Linked DNA regions of Danio rerio. The protein of the gene in region 1 interacts with the protein of each later gene in a pairwise test. Links are inferred from orthologs where the notes say so. Each region holds a gene or a part of one and is shown in the gene's direction. Other genes may lie near its edges.

Region 1 (3,521 bases):
CAGCCCCAGCATCACCATCCTGCGCTCCACCAGTCAGCAGGAGGCTGCAGAACACTGGAGAGATCAAGAAGAGGAAGCGAGAAGCCCCTTCCTTGGGTCACATGGGACACATGGCACACCGCTAGAAGAGTATTACCAGGACTGGCCGGATACACACAGATCACACTGCTGTAAGCTCATTAATGTTTTATAGGGCTGCACAAAATTAATTATTTTTATTTTTTTCTGCGATATACATTGCGTTATGAATACATTTTAAGTAGAAGTGTTGAATAACTATTTGGAAAGAATTTATCATTTTATATTGGTTGGGATGATTATGTGGGTGAGTGCATATGCATAAAATAAAAGAAACAACCTACAGGCATAGACAAATTCAATCTGCTTGTTAAGTGCGACGTCACATGAAGCGGCTTCCGAGTAGCTATATCAAGCTGTATAGGGAGACTCATAAACTGTAATAATAAACTTTTACCAAGCACCGTATTTCAAAAATCACAATTGCAATATATATATATATATATATATATATATATATATATATATATATATATATATATATATATATATATATATATATATATATATATACAGTTGAAGTCAGAATAATTAGCCCTGTTTTTTTTTTCCCTAATTTCTACACACATTTCTAAACATAATAGTTTTAATAACTCATTTGTAATAACTGATTTATTTTATCTTTTCCATGATGACAGTAAATAATATGTTATTAGATATTTTTCAAGACACTTCTATACAGCTTAAAGTGACATTTAAAGGCTTAACTAGGTTAATTAGGTTAACTAGGCAGGTTAAGGTAATTCGGCAGGTTATTGTATAACAATGGTTTGTTCTGTAGACTATCGAAAATAAATATAGCTTAAAAGGAGCTAAGAATTTTGACCTTAAAATGTTTTTTATAATATTAAAAACTGCTTTTTCTCAAATAAGTAGCAGCTTGGGCCCAGAAACGGTATTACATAGGTCACCGATATGACATCATGACCTAAGTAGCAGAAAAAGATACAAAGTAAATAAACAGCCTTTTGATTGTTTTCCTGAGGAGTCTAACTGTATTCAGGTATACAGTAGTTGGATAATCAAATGTAAAATAATACTCCATAGTCTTTGTTTATAAACAATTAAATCGGTACAATTTTTTAGGCCTGAATGCTTTTAAATCCCTCACACAGTCACAGGCCTCAAAAAGCACTTTTATTATTATATTATTTATTTTATTATATAATATAATTATAATCCAGACTTAGTATTTCGTATACTCGTGACTATTGTGAATGATCACATTGCGATATCGATGCTGAAACAATATATTGTGCAGCCCTAAGCAGTACCATATTTATTAACTGATTATAAATGTTTTTAGAGATGCAAAGATATTTCTAGCCCTGCAATATACATTACAATATAAATTGACAATATAAATTACATTTGCCATCATCTAGCAGTCATTTAAAACTAAAAAAGTAATTAATAATAATTTAAAATGATATTAATTTAAACTGTACATTTATAATAATATGTTGCTTAAAATCACTTTCCTAAAATCATATTGAAAATATCTGGCTTGGGTTTCCATTTTAGCTTTATTTTTGTGTTAATGTTGTAGATAATAATGTAGAATTTTAATATTCATTCATTCATTTATTCATGTACATTTATTCATGTAGTTTATGTAAAAATGTATATAAAATTCACTTTAATGTGCATTTTGCGTTGACTTAGTCTCTATTTCAGAGGTTGCGACAGCGAAATGAACTGCCTACTATTTCAGCATATGTTTTACACAGCGGATGCCCTTTCAGCCACAACCCAGTATTGGGAAACACCCATACACACACACACACACACACACACACACACTCATATACACTCATACACTATTGCTAATTAAGTTTATTAAATCCACCTTTACTGCATGTATTTGGACTGTGGGGGAAACCGGAGCACCAGGAGGAATCCCGTGCAAACACAGAAATGCCAACTGGCACAGCTGAGACTCAAACCAGTGACCTTCTTGCTGTGAGCCACCGTGCCACCCAATTTTTATAATCCTTAACTTATTTACGGGCATAGAACACATAGTTACTTTATTGGCATTTTTTAAATATAATTTTTTCAGTAACACTCCAGGGTTTTTCCAATGGGTATTTCATTGAGAACATTATAAAGGGTTCAAATGCAATGTAAAAGATTGTATGACAAACATAATTCAACTTTTTCATTCTTATTAGTCCTAATTAGGGCATTTCAATTTGGAGCTGCATAACTGAGATTTTGACTTGATGCTTAAAAGATTTTCCTATGCAAATATTTTAATCGATTGAATTTAGGAACGCAAATTCAGTGTCTAGACTAGCTGCAAGTGAATTCTATGATATACAAATACAATACTAGGCAATCTGAAAATCTTGTTAATGTGACCACCTCTTTATACAAAATGAAAAAGGACCAACACTGTGAACTCACCGCCATGATGAATTTATGAAATCTTTTTTTTTCTTTCAGGTAACTGTGGTTGCTGTAACCGTGATGCTCTTAAACTGGGAGCTTCCATGTTCACTTCAGCTTTGATCTTCCCCTTGTTGGTGTGGGGTGGCTATGTTTTCCTGCCCTTTGATGCTCCTCTACTGGACAGTGCCCCCCTAAGGCTGGTCTACACCCTGCGCTGCTCAGTTTTTGCAGTCATACCAATTGTTCTTGGTGAGTAAGAAGGGAAATGAGGCTTGAGTTCTTACATTGAAAAATACAGCGTGTCTTTTAGTGTGCAAACAGAGCTGAATCATTAAATCACAGGTAACCATTGTTCTCTTTTTTTTCTTTTTAAATCTTAGGTATGTTGGTTCTTGGCGTGTCCCGTCTGTGGTATCGCTCCTTGAAACCGCGGTTTGAAGGGGAGAAGGAAGTTAAGCAGGTTGCTGTTCATCAGCGTTATGTGGAGGACTCCATCTCGCTTTTCCTGCTTTACTTTCTCCAACTGACTGTCATGGCTGCCTACCTGAATCAGGATCTGCTTAAACTTATTCCCCTCCTCACCATTGTTTTTGCCTTTGGCAGGTACTGTACTGAATCCACATGAGAATTATAGAATGGAATGTCTGATTTAGGAACTGTCGTTAACACTCCATAAACGTTCTCAGAACTTCAGCAAATATTCTGGAAAGTTTCTCTCAAAGCAAACATTCTTTAAAATACATTAATAGAATGTTCTGCGTTTTAGAGTAGTTTATCTAAACCAGGGTTAGGCATAAATACATTTAAATGTATTTTAAAATAAAATACCTAATACCTTAAGTTTAAGTGAATTGAAATAAACTACAGAATACAGCAGTCACAAAATGTATCAAAAGAAAATACAGTATTTGTCTATTATAAAAATACTACAAAATACCTTTAAAAAAGGAGCATGACATCAGTCTCTTTACTATTAAACTGACTCCTCAATACTCTCAATCATTTCTGAAAACTTCCAAAAATTTGTCATCTATTTTTGCAAAAGGCTT
Region 2 (3,521 bases), on another chromosome or scaffold:
ATCAGCCATATTTTGACATGTCATTGTCACTAAAGTTATATGAAAGATTAAAGTAGACATGCTGCTTGCATTTATTATAGTTTTTGAAATGGTTTCCAAATATCCCCAATGACATTGTCTGATTCGTGTCTCACACTGTGAGATAAAGTATGATTGCAGGAATCGCCACCAATGGCGGCATTAGGGTGGGCTTTTGGGACTTAAGCCCTGTATGTTTTTTATCACCTTGTCACTTTTTTGTCATAAATAAAATTATTCAGAGCTGCAGGCTGCACTATAAATCAGACGTTGTCTCACAAGCCACATTTTGACTATTTTGCATAAAGTCTGCCGCATTTTGTTATTTATTCTGTCACAAAGCAAAAGAAATGATGACGCTGCTTTCCGCTCTACAGAAAACACCAAAGTAATCAGAGGAAACTGCGTTGACTTTGGTCTATGCAGATATCTTGGCAAAAAAAGAGAATATTTCAGAGACATAACTCTGAAAACAAAGAAGAGTATTGCAGTGCTTAAGGGATTTTGGGGGAAATTGCCTGGGCATTTGCAGCGACAAACTATTTTATTAAAGAATAATGCAACAAACCTCCCAAACTTACTGTAGGCTAATGATACAAAAACTATTTTTGCATATATCAGAAATGTTAATACTAATAGCCTGCTAGCTTGTAAAGTTGCTGAAGTAACACAAATATGCAAATGCATGCTTTCTGAACAAAGTGTCAATAACTACCATGAGCTAACATTCAAACTGATTATCTTATTAAAGCAATAGTTCACCCAAAAATGACAATTCTGTCTCATGTACACACCCTTTACTTTACCCATTTACTTTGACTTTAAAGGCAATCAAAAATAACCTATTCTATTCCATAATACTGAAATTAGGGGCATCACAGTGGCAAAGTGGGATCACCTCAAAGCAAGAAGGTTTCTGGCTCAAGCCTCGGCTGTTTGTGTGGGTTTCCTCCGGGTGCTCCGGTTTCCCCCACAGTCCAAAGACATGTACTATAGGTGAATTGAATAAATTTAATTGGCTGTAGTGTATGTGTGTAAATGCAGGAGTGTATGGGTGTTTCCCGGTGTTGGGTTGCGGCTAGAAGGACATCCGCTGCGTAAAAACATATGCTGGATAATTTGTCGGTTCATTCCGCTGTGGCGACCCCTGATAAATAAAAGGACTAATGCGAAAAGAAAATGAATGAATGGTGAAATTACTGAACATACATACATGAGCCTTAAAAAAGTCACATTTTAGAAGAATATTTCAGAAGGCACTTGCATGTTTGCTTCCAGACTCTTCAAATAAACAGATTAGCTGCATGGCCCTGACTTATAAATCTAACATCATAATAATAACATGTAATACTTGCCAAATAAAACTGTATCAGGATACAGAAAGAAACTAGCCATCATGCTTTAAATTATTTAGAATTTAGCCAATTTATAACATCAAAAGTGTTTTCCAGAGATGGGTTGCGGCTGGAAGGGCATCCGCTGCGTAAAACACATGCTGGATAAGTTGGCGGTTCATTCCGCTGTGGCGACCCCGGATTAATAAAGAGACTAAGCCGAAAGAAAATAAATGAATTAAACATCAAAACAGTAGGTAAATGCAAATAAGTAAATATTGATATGTGTATCAGAATCACCTATAGTACTGTTTATTAAAATCAGAATGATGCACCCCAGTTATGAAGCACATAAGTCAATATTTCATCAAAGCATTGACAGAGGTCTGGACTAAAGGTTCTGATTACCCACTGAACTCAGAATCATCCCTGGTCACCACTGCTATTTCTGTTCTTTAAGCTTCTGTTTCGGCTAGAGACATTTGCTAATTGAAGCTTGTTCCTCCATATTTCACGTTTGTGATTGGCCAAGTCCTGAGAGATAGCAGAGCACACCACTGTGAATAGTAAGCTTTTAGACTCTCCCTGCTGGAACTCGGGTGGAACAAAAGCCTCCCTTTATTAATTTGCGGCCGTAAGCTCCGGGAATTTAATCGAACAGACGAACTTTTAATTTGGGACAATTTTAATAAATGTGACCTTTTGTTCTGATCTCAGAAGAATTCAAATTGCCCGTGTGATTATTTCTTCGTCAGTTGAGCATTGTGCTGCAATACGTTCAACGTCGGAAATCACACCATATATATATATATATATATATATATATATATATATATATATATATATATATATATATATAAATATGTACAATAATGTTAATGTTTCTGTAGGTTGAGCTGGGGAAGGAGAAGGACAGAAAGGCCAGGTATCGCACTTACCAGTGTGCCGCCATCATTCTGAGTGTGGTGTTCCTGATTCTGGCCCTCTGCATCTTCAGTCTCAGATATATATGGAGCCCAAACCTCGGGAAGGTAAGAGAAATCCAAATCCATTTTGGGGACCAAGAGAACAGTGCATGGCTGTGGATTAATTAGCAAATGATTAGAATAACAATCGTGGGATGGAAATGAAAGACACAGAAACATCTGCACAAGCTGTTTAGTATTCTTGGAACTGACTGAATCCAATCTTGATTTCCTTGGCATAAACAATAACATCACAGAGCTGAGAAAACGCCAGAATGAACAGATAAATACATAGTGTGCATTTCATAATAAGATTGCTACAATAATCGGAACTGCAAAACACAGATATTATTCATTATAGCTCCTCAATTCTTGTTGATACCCAGAAATGGACAGCGTGTAAGTAATTGCCAATAGGCGAGTGTCAACAGACAGGCAAACCTTATGCTTGGGTGTACGACGCTATGCATACAATCTCCCAGAGGATGCAACTCATTTAACAGCCAATTCTTTGAACGCATTTGCTGAAGCTCCAGTCTAATTTCTGCATCAGATATTTCACGCTCCTGCTTGAGGACTCATCAGTTTGAGCTGCAGATTCTCACAGGGCATGTAATGGGCTTAATGACACTGGAAGTTTGGGCTGTGGAGATGGAGAGCGAGTGCTCACACTCTCGAACTGCTGCGCTCGGCTTACTTAAGGCCCGAGCAGCCGCTGATATCCAGCAACGAGCAGGATAATGGTGCTTTAAAACACAATGATGGTCCTGACTGTTAGGGGGTCTCTTCTCAACAGCAGTCAGGGGGAAATATTAGCCAAGCAAAAGACATACACACACACACACTCAGTGTGTCTCAAGTGCTGACATCAACAATGAAACCTGAATGTGCAACTATTGCAGCTCCGGGCATCACAAATTTGCAGCGTATATATGAATATTTCAAACCAACACTGCATATTTCATAAGCCCCGCCTACTGTTATTTAGACTTGACCAAATATTAAATGTTTCTGGCTTTCCTTGTTTGGCTAGGTAAGACATCATCAATTATTCCTGTGATCTTAAAAGGTACAGCGCCTGACAAACTAATTAGAAGTCAATACATCAATAGAGCAGGAGATTGTCTTTGCCAATCCCTCCATGTGGCAGCAGGGAGAAGCAAAGCGGTCTCCTGTGTCTAGCTTTGCATAAACTGCTGTGGAA
Region 3 (3,521 bases), on another chromosome or scaffold:
CATTGTATATGACAAAAGGTCACTACAACTAATGTTTAATGTTACTTTAACTTATTTGAATAATAGTAATACAATTTTGCAACTTAATTTAAACTAAAAAGTAAGTTCAACTTAATATGTTTAGTTATTTTCCCAGTGATGTGTTGCAGCTGGAAGGGCATAGGCTGGGTAAAACATATGCTGGATAAGTTGGTGGTTCATTCTGCTGTGGCGACCCCAGATTAATAAAGGAACTAAGCCGACAAGAAAATGAATGAATGTTTAATTATCATTTTTCAAAATAATGATAATGATATCATTATATGATAATGATCTTTCAGACTCTGATTATAAATAAAACTGAAATAATTCATAATTTTGTTGTGCAGTCCGGTACCAATTGATGTAAGTTAAGCTCCTGTCAGCGATTCCCTCACGCACATTATATGTTAATTAGTAACGCCTACTTGTTTACATCTTGCGGCATACACAAAAAAATTACATTTATTACGGTTAACAATTTATTCCACAGTATTGACCACCCAGCCCTAGTAAACATGTTAAAAAGAATTCAAATATCACATTGTTTTCCTTTCCTTGGAGCTTAAAAACAAACCATGAGCCAGAGATTATCCATGAAGTCTGACGAACAAGAAACAAACTTCTCCTAGTAGACGTTGCTGGCAGTGTTGATTTAGAGTTTAGTGTTGCCTGACAGGATCTGCAAATACATGTATCGACTGTTTGAGTTTAAGCAAGGACTGAGTTGATTTTAACTTCATAATATCCCTGTACTCCCAAATGTATTCTTCATTTATAACCATATAAGGACTTTCTATTGAATGAATTGTGCTGTTTACACTTGTTTTTTCCTCTCTGTAGTGCGTGCCACATGTTTTAGCAATCAGAGCTTCTGAAAACTTTAGAAACTTTAGGGGATGTGTGAAATTCAGAGCTCCACTGTTAACCGACACCTAGAGCAGCTGGGTCCTTCTGAGGGATTGTGAACGGTAGTAAAAAGCTTTGGTGATTTGGCAGCAAACATGAATGACGTACTGTACTTACAAGGGAGAATTTCCACACTAAAAAGCCAAATGAATTGGGGGAAGCACACTGATGCTAAGAAAAGACCAGCAAAATGAGTTCTGTTATATACAGCAGGGAAAATAAGTATTGAACACGTCACCATTTTGCTCAGATAAGATGTTGATATTAGCCAAAGAAATCCATTTATGTAAAGAAAACAAAACTAATTAGTTTAAAAATTCGTAATAAATGAAATGACGCAGAGAAAAAGTATTGAACACATGAAGGAAGGGAGGTGCAGAAAGGCAGTGAAAGCCCAGACAGCAGCTGAAATCTCTCAGTAGTTCTTTAGCAACACTCTGCCCTCTATATAAAGTACACTGTAAAAAAATAAACATAATTTTACAGGTAATTGTCTGCAGTCTAGATTCTAAACCATTATTTTACAGGTAATTGAACCTTACAGAAGGACAACTATCTGTGCAGCAATCCACCAATCAGGCCTGTATGGTACACTCTCAGAAAAAGTGGTACAATGTTGTACCAAAGAAGGTACAAACCCTTGTCTCTGGGGCAGTACCTTTTTATGGGACAGAATTGTACCTCAAGACAAAGAAACAAATTTGTACCATTGCAGTTTGTACCTTTAAGAACATGATGTGTACCAGTTGTTTTGTATTATTGCATTATAGAACTTAATAATTATTGTTTATGAGTTTATTTAAACATATGCTTTTAAATGATGATTCTTGTTTTGATATGGAAATTATTCATAAATCACTTTGCCTCTCCAGTAATATTTATTTTCATAGATATTGTAACAAAGAAGGAGTTGTCCAACACTTATGTACATTCTCAGAAATAAAGGTACAGGAGCTGTCACTGGGGCAGTACCTTTTCAAAAGATACATATTTGTACTCAAAGAGTCTACAGTGGTACCTAAAAGGTGCATATTAGTACCTCTGAAGTACCATTATGGACCCTTCAGGTACAAATATGTACCGTTTGAAAAGGTACTGCCCCAGTGACAGCTCCTGTACCTTTATTTCTGAGAGTGTACCTTTTTATGAGAACAATTATGTACCTTCATTTCAATTGTACCATAAAAGGTACAGAACAGTATCATAAGAGGCCTTTTCTGTACCATATAAGGTACAACTTTTACACGGGTACAAAACTGGCCCTCAAGGAACGTTATTTGTACCACCGTGTACCTTTTTTTCTGAGAGTGTAGAGTGGCCAGACAGAAGCCACTCCCCGCCAGGAATTTGCCAAAAGGCATCTGAAGGACTCTCAGACCATAAAAAACTAAATTTCTTACAAAACTAAATATGAAAAAGGCTAATACCATCCCTACAGTGAAGCATGGTGGTGGCAGCATCATACTGTCGAGATGTTTTTCAGCAGCAGGAACTGAAAGACTAGTCAGGATAGAGGGAAAGATGAATGCAGCAATGTACAGAGACATCCTGAATGAAAACCTGCTTCAGAGTTCTCTTGACCGCAGACTGGGGCGACGGTTCATCTTCCAGCAGGACAATGACCCAAAGCACACCGCCAAAATATTAATGGAGTGGCTTCACAACAACTCAGTGAATGTCCTTGAGTGGCCCAGCCAGAGCCCAGACCTAAATCCTATTGAACATCTCTGGAGAGATCTGAAAATGGCTGTACACCGTCACTTCCCATCCAACCTGATAGAGCTTGAGAGGTACTACAGAGAGGAATGGGCAGAAATTCCCAAAGACAGGTGTGCCAAGCTTGTGGCATCATATTCAACAAGACTTGAGTTTGTAATTACTGCCAAAGGTGCATCAACAGAGTATTTAGAATTTTTTTGTTGTGATTTTTGAGGTTTTTTATTTTTAATAAATTTGCAACAATTTCACAAACTCTTTATTTCACATTGTCATTATGGGGTATTGTGTGTAGAATGTTGAGGAAATAAATGAACTTAATCTATTTTGGAATAAGGCTGTAACATAAACAAATGTGGAAAAAGTGAAGCGCTATCAATACTTTCCAGATGCACTGTATTGCAATGGCAACAAAATGATTGAGATCATCTCCAAGTATTGCACGATAAGTCGATATATTGATTATTGTGGCATACACAATACATAAAAAAACTGATCTGTATGCCAATGTTTGTTTCATTACAGTCTCAATGACAACACTGCAATAAAGAAACAAGCCTTAGGCCTGCACAATGATGTAAATGCAGCAGAGGCTAACAGCTAATGCTAACCATCAAATTTTTGACTTGCTGATCAAAATGTTCACATCCATACTGATGTAAATGCTTGTTTTCTGTTTGTCTGTAGCTCCTCAGTTTCATCATCCTGATCTGTTATGCCGCATCGATGTACGGAGGGTATACAGCGGTCGCCATCTGCGAGATGGTCTTTGCCATCATCTTCTTCGTTGTCTATATGCTGGAGCTGGACAAACAGTTCCTGGTGGTGAACTGGCTCTGGAGCGTAAGTAAATGCACACACACTAGCATCATGGTGGT
Region 4 (3,521 bases), on another chromosome or scaffold:
AGGCATAGGTAGGGAACACGATGCACATACTTCTTTTTGTTCTCAAGAAGGAAGTACAGAGCAGCCCTAGCATCATGCCATAAAGTTTTGATCAGCAGGTTTCCTTCAGCAGGCTTTTAAAATCTAGTTATTTTGCTAGTGCTTGACAGATTCTGTGCTTGATTTATTCCTGCAGCTCCTAATCAAATGTTGGAGGCTGTCACCCTGTCGGGTATTGTCGCCTGTGTCCTAAGCATCCTGTGTGGCGCTCTAAATTTACTGCGGGGAGTCCATGCGATTGAAAGCGTATTGCAGGTAAGTTACAGTAAATCATGCATTAATAGAAATGCTGCTGCTTCGTTTTTAAGCTTTGTGTCTTTTATTGATGAACGCATTGGACTCGACATTACTCTTAAATGCATAAGTGCCGTCGTAATAAAATAAATCTCAACTAATGGATGGTAACAGTACACTTGAATAATTTGTCCGAGTTTGCATTTAGATGTAATGTGATTTTTCCCTCTTCCATAAACAGAACAGTTTTTGCTTGGCTTTGAATATTGTGCTGATAAGTGAGCCCTCGAGTCCTGACACTTAATTCATCCTCCGTATTAGCACATGGCTTCCTGGTGTAATTTGTTCACTATTTAACGCAGCAACCCTGTCTTTCCTCTTTTTCTGCTTCATCTGCAGAACGACGATGAAGACTTTAATTACGTAATTGCTTTTTTCCTTGGAACCGCAGCGTGTTTGTATCAGGTAAGTGACGGCGGTCGGAGCGTGAGTTACTATCGGCCTGCCAGGCTTTATTTTCTATGTACGCCATTTCGGCCTGACCAACCAATGCTTATATATCACACTTTTTCCTCACTGTCATGTAAAAGAGTAGCTTCTGGAAATTAGGAAAATGTTTCCTTTTAACTTGCATCGAATCTGCTGGTATTGTGGATGCTTCTTTAGAATAAGAATCATTCAGTGACATATTAAAAGACTTTATTTAAGTAGATAGTTGATTTAAAAATGACCTTTTACCTCAACATTTACTCGTCCTCATGTGGTTTGAAAATTTAACGAGTTTTTTTGTTCTTTTCAACACATTCATTTTCCTTTAGTTTTGTCCCTTTATTCATCAGGGGTTACCACAGCGAAATTAACTGCCAACTTATCCAGCATATGTTTTACACAGTGGATGTTTTACACAGTCCGGCTGCAACCCAGTACTGGGAAACACCCATACACACTCATCCACACACATCCACTATGAACAATTTAGTTTATTAAATTCACCTGTACCGCATGTCGTTAGACTGTGAAGAAATCCAATGCACCTGAAAAAAACCTACACGCACACGGGTGCCCAGTCTCGAAAATAGAGTTAAACCCAGCCCAGACTCGAATCAGCAACCTTCTAGCTGTAAGGCGACATTACTAACCACTGTCGCCCCTTTTTATAACACAAATTAAGATATGTTGAATAATGCTGGGAACCATTCACTTTTCCTACTATGAAGTTAATGGGTCCCAGCAACCAGCATTATTCAAAATCACTTATTTTGTGTTCAACTGTAGTAAGAAACCTAAACAGGTTTTGAGCAAATGAAGGATGAGTAAATGATCACAAATGATGTCTTCAGAAAACAGAATCACACTAGTACTTCATTTGGTCAAAAGTGACTAAAGACCACACATGTAACTTTTACACCATTAAAAACAATAGGATATTTACAATAATTATTATTTAAAAGGTTTTGAATCAGTGCAGTATTTTGTAATTAGAAAAAGAAAAACCCGTTCACTGCTGTATATTTTTTCAGCCTTGTGGCTGATTTGTAGATTGTACACACACAAATTCTCACAAGTGTAGTTTTTTTTCTAAATTATCAATTCATTTCTTATGGGGAGTCCTCTTTGACCAAAAGAATACAAGTTTGACTTTTTATGCCACTTCGCCAGCTTGAATCTTGCCCCAATTTTTTATATACATTGCAAAAACTTAGTTTTGCATAATTGTGATGAAGCTGTAATAAAAAAAAAATTCAACATTTTCCTACGGGACCAACAGGTTTAAGTATCACAGCACAGCCCCAAAATAATAATTTCTTCTTTAAGAAAAAGTCAGAATAAGCCAATTAATAAATTTTTACATTTAATATGTTCATTAAACTGATGACAGTGGAACTTTGTCACCTGTATTTTGTCTTTTTTTCACAAAAATGAATTTAAAACATTAATACAGATAACATACTTGCATTAAATACTTTTCATTCATTCACTTTCCTTCAGCTTAGTCCCTTTATTTATCAGGGGTCACCACTGTGGAATGAACCGCCAACTTATCCAACATATGTTTTACACAGAGGATGCCCTTCCAGCTGCAACCCAGTACTGGGAAACATCCATACACACTCATTTACACACACTTATACACTACGGCCAATTTTATTTACCCAATTCACCTATATTCTGTCTTTGAACTGAGGGAAACTGAAGCACCCAGAGAAAACCCACACAAACACGGGGAGAACATGCAAACACAGAAACACCAACTGACTTTGAAATGCCAAATGTGACTTTCACCATTAAAAACAATGGGATTTTTACAAATTATTATTATTGAAAATATTTTTTTTTAATTAGTGCCGTGTTTGTAATTAGAATAGAGAGGCAGATTAGCACAATCTGGTTTAAAAAAAAAAAGAAGAAAACCCCTTCACTGCTGTATATGCTCAGAAATATAGTTTTAATTTTTGTAAATTCCATATTTATTTCCTATGGTCAATCATCTTTGACCAAAATAATACATGTGTGACTTTATTTATGCCCACTTTGCCCGCTTGAATCTTGCCCCCAGTTTTTGTATGTATATATTGCAATAGCTTACAAAGTTTCTTACAATTCCGATGAAGCTGTTACTTAAAAAAATTCAAGGAGACCCCGGGGGGTTAAGGATCACAGCACAGCCCCAAAATAATAATAGTTAACTGTTAGCAATTCTTGTATTAAAACAGATAATATACTTGCATTTAATACTTTTGCTTATATAAAGTGCTTTTATAAAGAAAGTGATGTGACAAAAAACAAGACGACTTGACTTTGACTATCAAAAATTGTAATATTGTTCAAATCTTATTCAAATGTTTTCCTCGTGTCTCTCTGTCTCTATACGCAGTGTTACTTATTCGCCTACTTCTCATTCTGGAGAAACATCAAGTCATTCCTGGCCTTCGCTCTGATCTGCCTGTGTAATATGTATCTGTATGAACTCCGGAACCTGTGGCAGATCCTCTTTCACGTGACAGTGGGAGCGTTCATCACTCTGCAGATCCACCTGAGACGACCGCAGGGCAAAGCACCTGACTATAATGTTTGACCCCCTTGAACTCTTCAAGACTGTGTAATATAGCCCAACATGGCAACTATGAATCTCTTCCCGGCCCGTTTGAGGACTTACAGTATGGATTTTGAAAAAGGTTTACAAACGGTTTTGAAAAATGTCCTGCTGTTCCACATTTAGCTACTGTTCTGGTTAAAGCAGAAGGTTC
Region 5 (3,816 bases), on another chromosome or scaffold:
ACAAATTACGTAGCAAAGTTTGTAGTCGGTAATGTAATCTGTTAGACTGAACACTTATGGTAATGTAATCGGACTACTTTTGGATTACATTTATGCTAACGTAATCTAACTGCTTTTGTGTGACATTTAGATTACTTTGATTACACAATTATGGTAATGTAATCTCACTACTTATGGATTACTTTTAGATTACTTTTATTACACTATTATGATAATGTAATCTGACTACATTTGGAGTACATTTATTACACATTTATGTTAATATACTCTCACTACTTTTGGATTACATTTAGATTATGTTCGTTATACATTTATGGTAATGTAATCTCACTACTTTCGGATTACTTGTTTACACATTCATGGTAATGTATTCTCACTACTTATGGGTTACATTTAGATTATTTTTATTACAATATTATGGTAATATAATCTATTACTTTTGGATTACATTTAGATTACTTTTATTACATGTATGCTAATGTAATCTGACTACATTTGGATTGTTTTAACATTATTTTTATTACTCATTTATTTTAATCTGATCTTACTACTTTTGGATTAAATTTATGCTAATGTAATCTTACTCCTTTTGGATTACATTTAGATTACTTTTATCACATTTATGCTGTATACAATAAAAACAGGTTAAAAATCCAAGTACTGAGGCACCAATGTAAAACCAGCTCTCCATATTGTTAATTAAAAGCTTGGCCAAAAATATTTGTCTTTAAATGTTCTTTAATAAGTTTAACTGATCCCAGAGGTGTTATATTATTATGAATTAGTTACTTATAATTAAATTTTTAAATATGACATTGTTACATGTATTTCATTAAAGCCTAGTCCTGATTACAGTATTGAAAAGTTGAGAGTAATTTCATCATGACATCAAATATTTCATCTAAACAATAAGTGCAAATGACAATATATGCAAAATTGTCAACAATATATTGCCATTTCCCAGTGATGGGCATCCGCTGTGTAAAACATATGCTGGAATAGTAGGTGGTTCATTCCAACGTGATGATCCCTGATTAATTTTGGGGACAACTTGTTTAATCCACTCAAATTTGTATTAGCTAATAAGTTAACTTAATTCCTTCATGTTGTCCCAACACAAATTGTGTGTAACCCAACATTTTTAGCATGTAATTTAGAGTGATTACAAATACTTGATTTTGTAATCCAGATTACATATAACCCACTACTCTCCTGTTACTTCCACCAGAAGACAATAGAGCCGCAGAATAACCCTGATCCACAGAGACTCTCATATCTCAGTCAATCCCTCAATAAACCCAGCAGCTGATGTTAAATACCTGTGACATCACCATCCTCTGGTCCAATCCACTCGTTTCTGTCCAGCACCACTGCTTTAAGAGCCCAGAGATGTAGAAAAAGCACACAGAGACTTTAAAATCATCTGAAACACACAGAGACGACGCAGAGCAGGTAAGAAGATCCACACCATTCACCACAGCGACTCACTGAATCACCTGCAGAGAGATTCATTCAGTGCTTTGAGTGTTTAAATGCATCTTGGAATTCCAGACGACTCACCTGAACGAATCAATACATCACATCACACAAAACACTCTTTCTTTGATCAAACATGTTTAGAATGCTCTTTATGAACAAGTGTGCTTAGTTTGATTTAGTGTTGAAGTTTTTAAATCATTTGGAGATGAGTTTAAATAGGAAAAAACTACCAAATTAATGAATACCATAGTAATTACTATAGTTTTTGAACTGTGCTATTGTAAACAGTAAAGTATAATACTTGTGGTGATTGTACAGTTGCTTTGATAACACAACTATAGTAACAAATCTGTTATGGTGATTCTACAGTTGCTATGGTAACACAACAGCTATAGTAACAAATCTGTCATGATGATTCTACAGTTGCTATGGTAATACAACTATAGTTACAAATCTGTTGTGGTGATGCTACAGTTGATATGGTAGCACATCAACTATAGTAACAAATCTGTTGTTGTGATTCTACAGTTGCTATGGTAACACAACAACAATAATAACAAATCTATTGTGGTGACTCTATAGTTGCTATGGTAACAACAAGACTAGTAACAAATCTGTCGTGATGATTCTACAGTTGCTATGGTAACAGCAACTATAGTAACAAATCTGTTGTGATGATTCTATAGTTGCTATGGTAACACTACACCTATAGTAACAAATCTTTTGAGGTGATTCTATAGTTTCTATGGTAACACAACAACTACAGTAATGAATCTGTTGTGGTGATTCTATAGTTGCTATGGTAACAAAACAACTATAGTAACGAATCTGTTGTGGTGATTCTATAGTTGCTATGGTAACACAACAGCTATAGTAACAAATCTGTTGAGGTGATTCTATAGTTGCTATGGTAACACAACAGCTATAGTAGCAAATCTGTTGTGGGGATTTTTACAGTTGCTATGGTAACACAACAACTATAGCAATGTAAACAAATGATTACCTTTTGTGTACAAGTAGATTTCTACAACTATAGAGTACACTATACTACAACATACCAGTTTACTGTAGTAAAAACTAAGGTAAACTACAGTACTTATTACAGTTTCATTATAGTTAATACTACAGTATGCTGGTGAATGAGTTAAAGCATTGTCGATACAGTACTATAATATAAACAGTCTAATAGACTTGACTATAATATATTCTAAAAGCACAACAGTATTTACAATAAATTACTATTGTTTTTTTCGTGTGTGTGTGTGTGTGTGAATGTGTGAGTTCTGTATGTGTGTGTGTGTGTGTGTGTGACAATAGCTAACCTGATGATGGAATTGTGTTTGAAACTCAAGCCTAGAACAGACAGATGATCGGCTTAATTTCCTAGTGGCCGACATACTGCTCTATTTTTCCATCTCTATCCCTCTCTCTCTGCGTGTGTGTATGTGTGTGTGTGTGTGTGTCTGTGTCCCTGAAGGTTGATCTCGTGCTCCAGCTGCTGTGTGTCTGCATGATGGAGCGATCCACACAGGAGCTCTTCCTGAACTTCATGATTGTTCTGATCACCGTTCTGCTGATGTGGTTACTGGTCAAGCAGTATCAGGACTCATGAGGGAGAGAAGAGCCTGCATCTTCATCATCATCTTCATCTGTGAGGACGGTCTTGCAGGAGCTCACAGTCCAGATGATCCAACAGTTTGTGTTCATGGATTGTGGTCATAATGATCTGAAGGTCAAACACTCATCCTGCCAGACAAAAGAGTCCAGATGTCCTGATTTAGGACAGATTTATTTGCATCAATAAACTCTTTGGCAATGCACCGGCATGTGGTTGTGTTTTACAGCATGCACTTACACAAATACACATTCCAACAATGCCGAATTTCAATCGGAAATGACTAATACCGATCAGAACTCACTGATCACCTCATCAACACATTTATAGAGTGAAGGTCTACTTTAGTGAGCGCTGCCTTGCGGTTCCATCGCAGAGAGGCTATAAGTCACTTTCCAGAACCTTCTCAGTCACTGTTCCTCACTGGTCAAATCGGACAGAGCGTTAGTGAATAACTATTGATTGTTTTTCTTTTAACGTTTCACTGAAACATCTTATCCCTGTCTCTTTTAATCTTGTTTATGTAAAGCACTTTGAATCGCCACTCTGTATGAAATAAACTTGCCTTGCCGCGTTCATACCAAGCATGAAGATATCGATGAATATATGGTTCTAAAGATTGTCCACAGTGTTAAAGAATATTATGGTTCACACCGCAACTACAACGATAAAGATACAGAGGATCCTTTTTGTTTTTATTCCACTGCACTGACTATGATTAC

The links.
Region 2: the proteins of tmem79b (region 1) and tnmd interact in binary tests that used the Homo sapiens proteins (3 or more experiments, as listed by UniProt). The two-hybrid records come from large-scale screens. The link is inferred for Danio rerio from reciprocal best matches to the Homo sapiens genes TMEM79 and TNMD.
Region 3: the proteins of tmem79b (region 1) and plp2b interact in binary tests that used the Homo sapiens proteins (3 or more experiments, as listed by UniProt). The two-hybrid records come from large-scale screens. The link is inferred for Danio rerio from reciprocal best matches to the Homo sapiens genes TMEM79 and PLP2.
Region 4: the proteins of tmem79b (region 1) and sec22a interact in binary tests that used the Homo sapiens proteins (3 or more experiments, as listed by UniProt). The two-hybrid records come from large-scale screens. The link is inferred for Danio rerio from reciprocal best matches to the Homo sapiens genes TMEM79 and SEC22A.
Region 5: the proteins of tmem79b (region 1) and sln interact in binary tests that used the Homo sapiens proteins (3 or more experiments, as listed by UniProt). The two-hybrid records come from large-scale screens. The link is inferred for Danio rerio from reciprocal best matches to the Homo sapiens genes TMEM79 and SLN.

Annotation. Positions count from the first base shown.
Region 1 is NC_133191.1:33,472,944-33,476,464, forward strand, and holds part of tmem79b (transmembrane protein 79), read left to right. Parts: coding exon 1-170; intron 171-2,526; coding exon 2,527-2,721; intron 2,722-2,852; coding exon 2,853-3,075; exon of another isoform or gene 3,076-3,521.
Region 2 is NC_133189.1:45,246,041-45,249,561, forward strand, and holds part of tnmd (tenomodulin), read left to right. Parts: intron 1-2,242; coding exon 2,243-2,383; intron 2,384-3,521. UniProt on the Homo sapiens protein: May be an angiogenesis inhibitor.
Region 3 is NC_133183.1:59,091,825-59,095,345, reverse strand, and holds part of plp2b (proteolipid protein 2b), read left to right. Parts: intron 1-3,330; coding exon 3,331-3,486; intron 3,487-3,521. UniProt on the Homo sapiens protein: May play a role in cell differentiation in the intestinal epithelium.
Region 4 is NC_133184.1:39,568,740-39,572,260, forward strand, and holds part of sec22a (vesicle-trafficking protein SEC22a), read left to right. Parts: coding exon 1-8; intron 9-175; coding exon 176-294; intron 295-672; coding exon 673-738; intron 739-3,148; coding exon 3,149-3,349; 3' UTR 3,350-3,521. UniProt on the Homo sapiens protein: May be involved in vesicle transport between the ER and the Golgi complex.
Region 5 is NC_133190.1:51,382,751-51,386,566, forward strand, and holds sln (sarcolipin), read left to right. Parts: upstream 1-1,402; 5' UTR 1,403-1,452; intron 1,453-2,956; 5' UTR 2,957-2,989; coding exon 2,990-3,091; 3' UTR 3,092-3,299; downstream 3,300-3,816. UniProt on the Homo sapiens protein: Reversibly inhibits the activity of ATP2A1/SERCA1 and ATP2A2/SERCA2 in sarcoplasmic reticulum by decreasing the apparent affinity of the ATPase for Ca(2+). Also inhibits the activity of ATP2A3/SERCA3.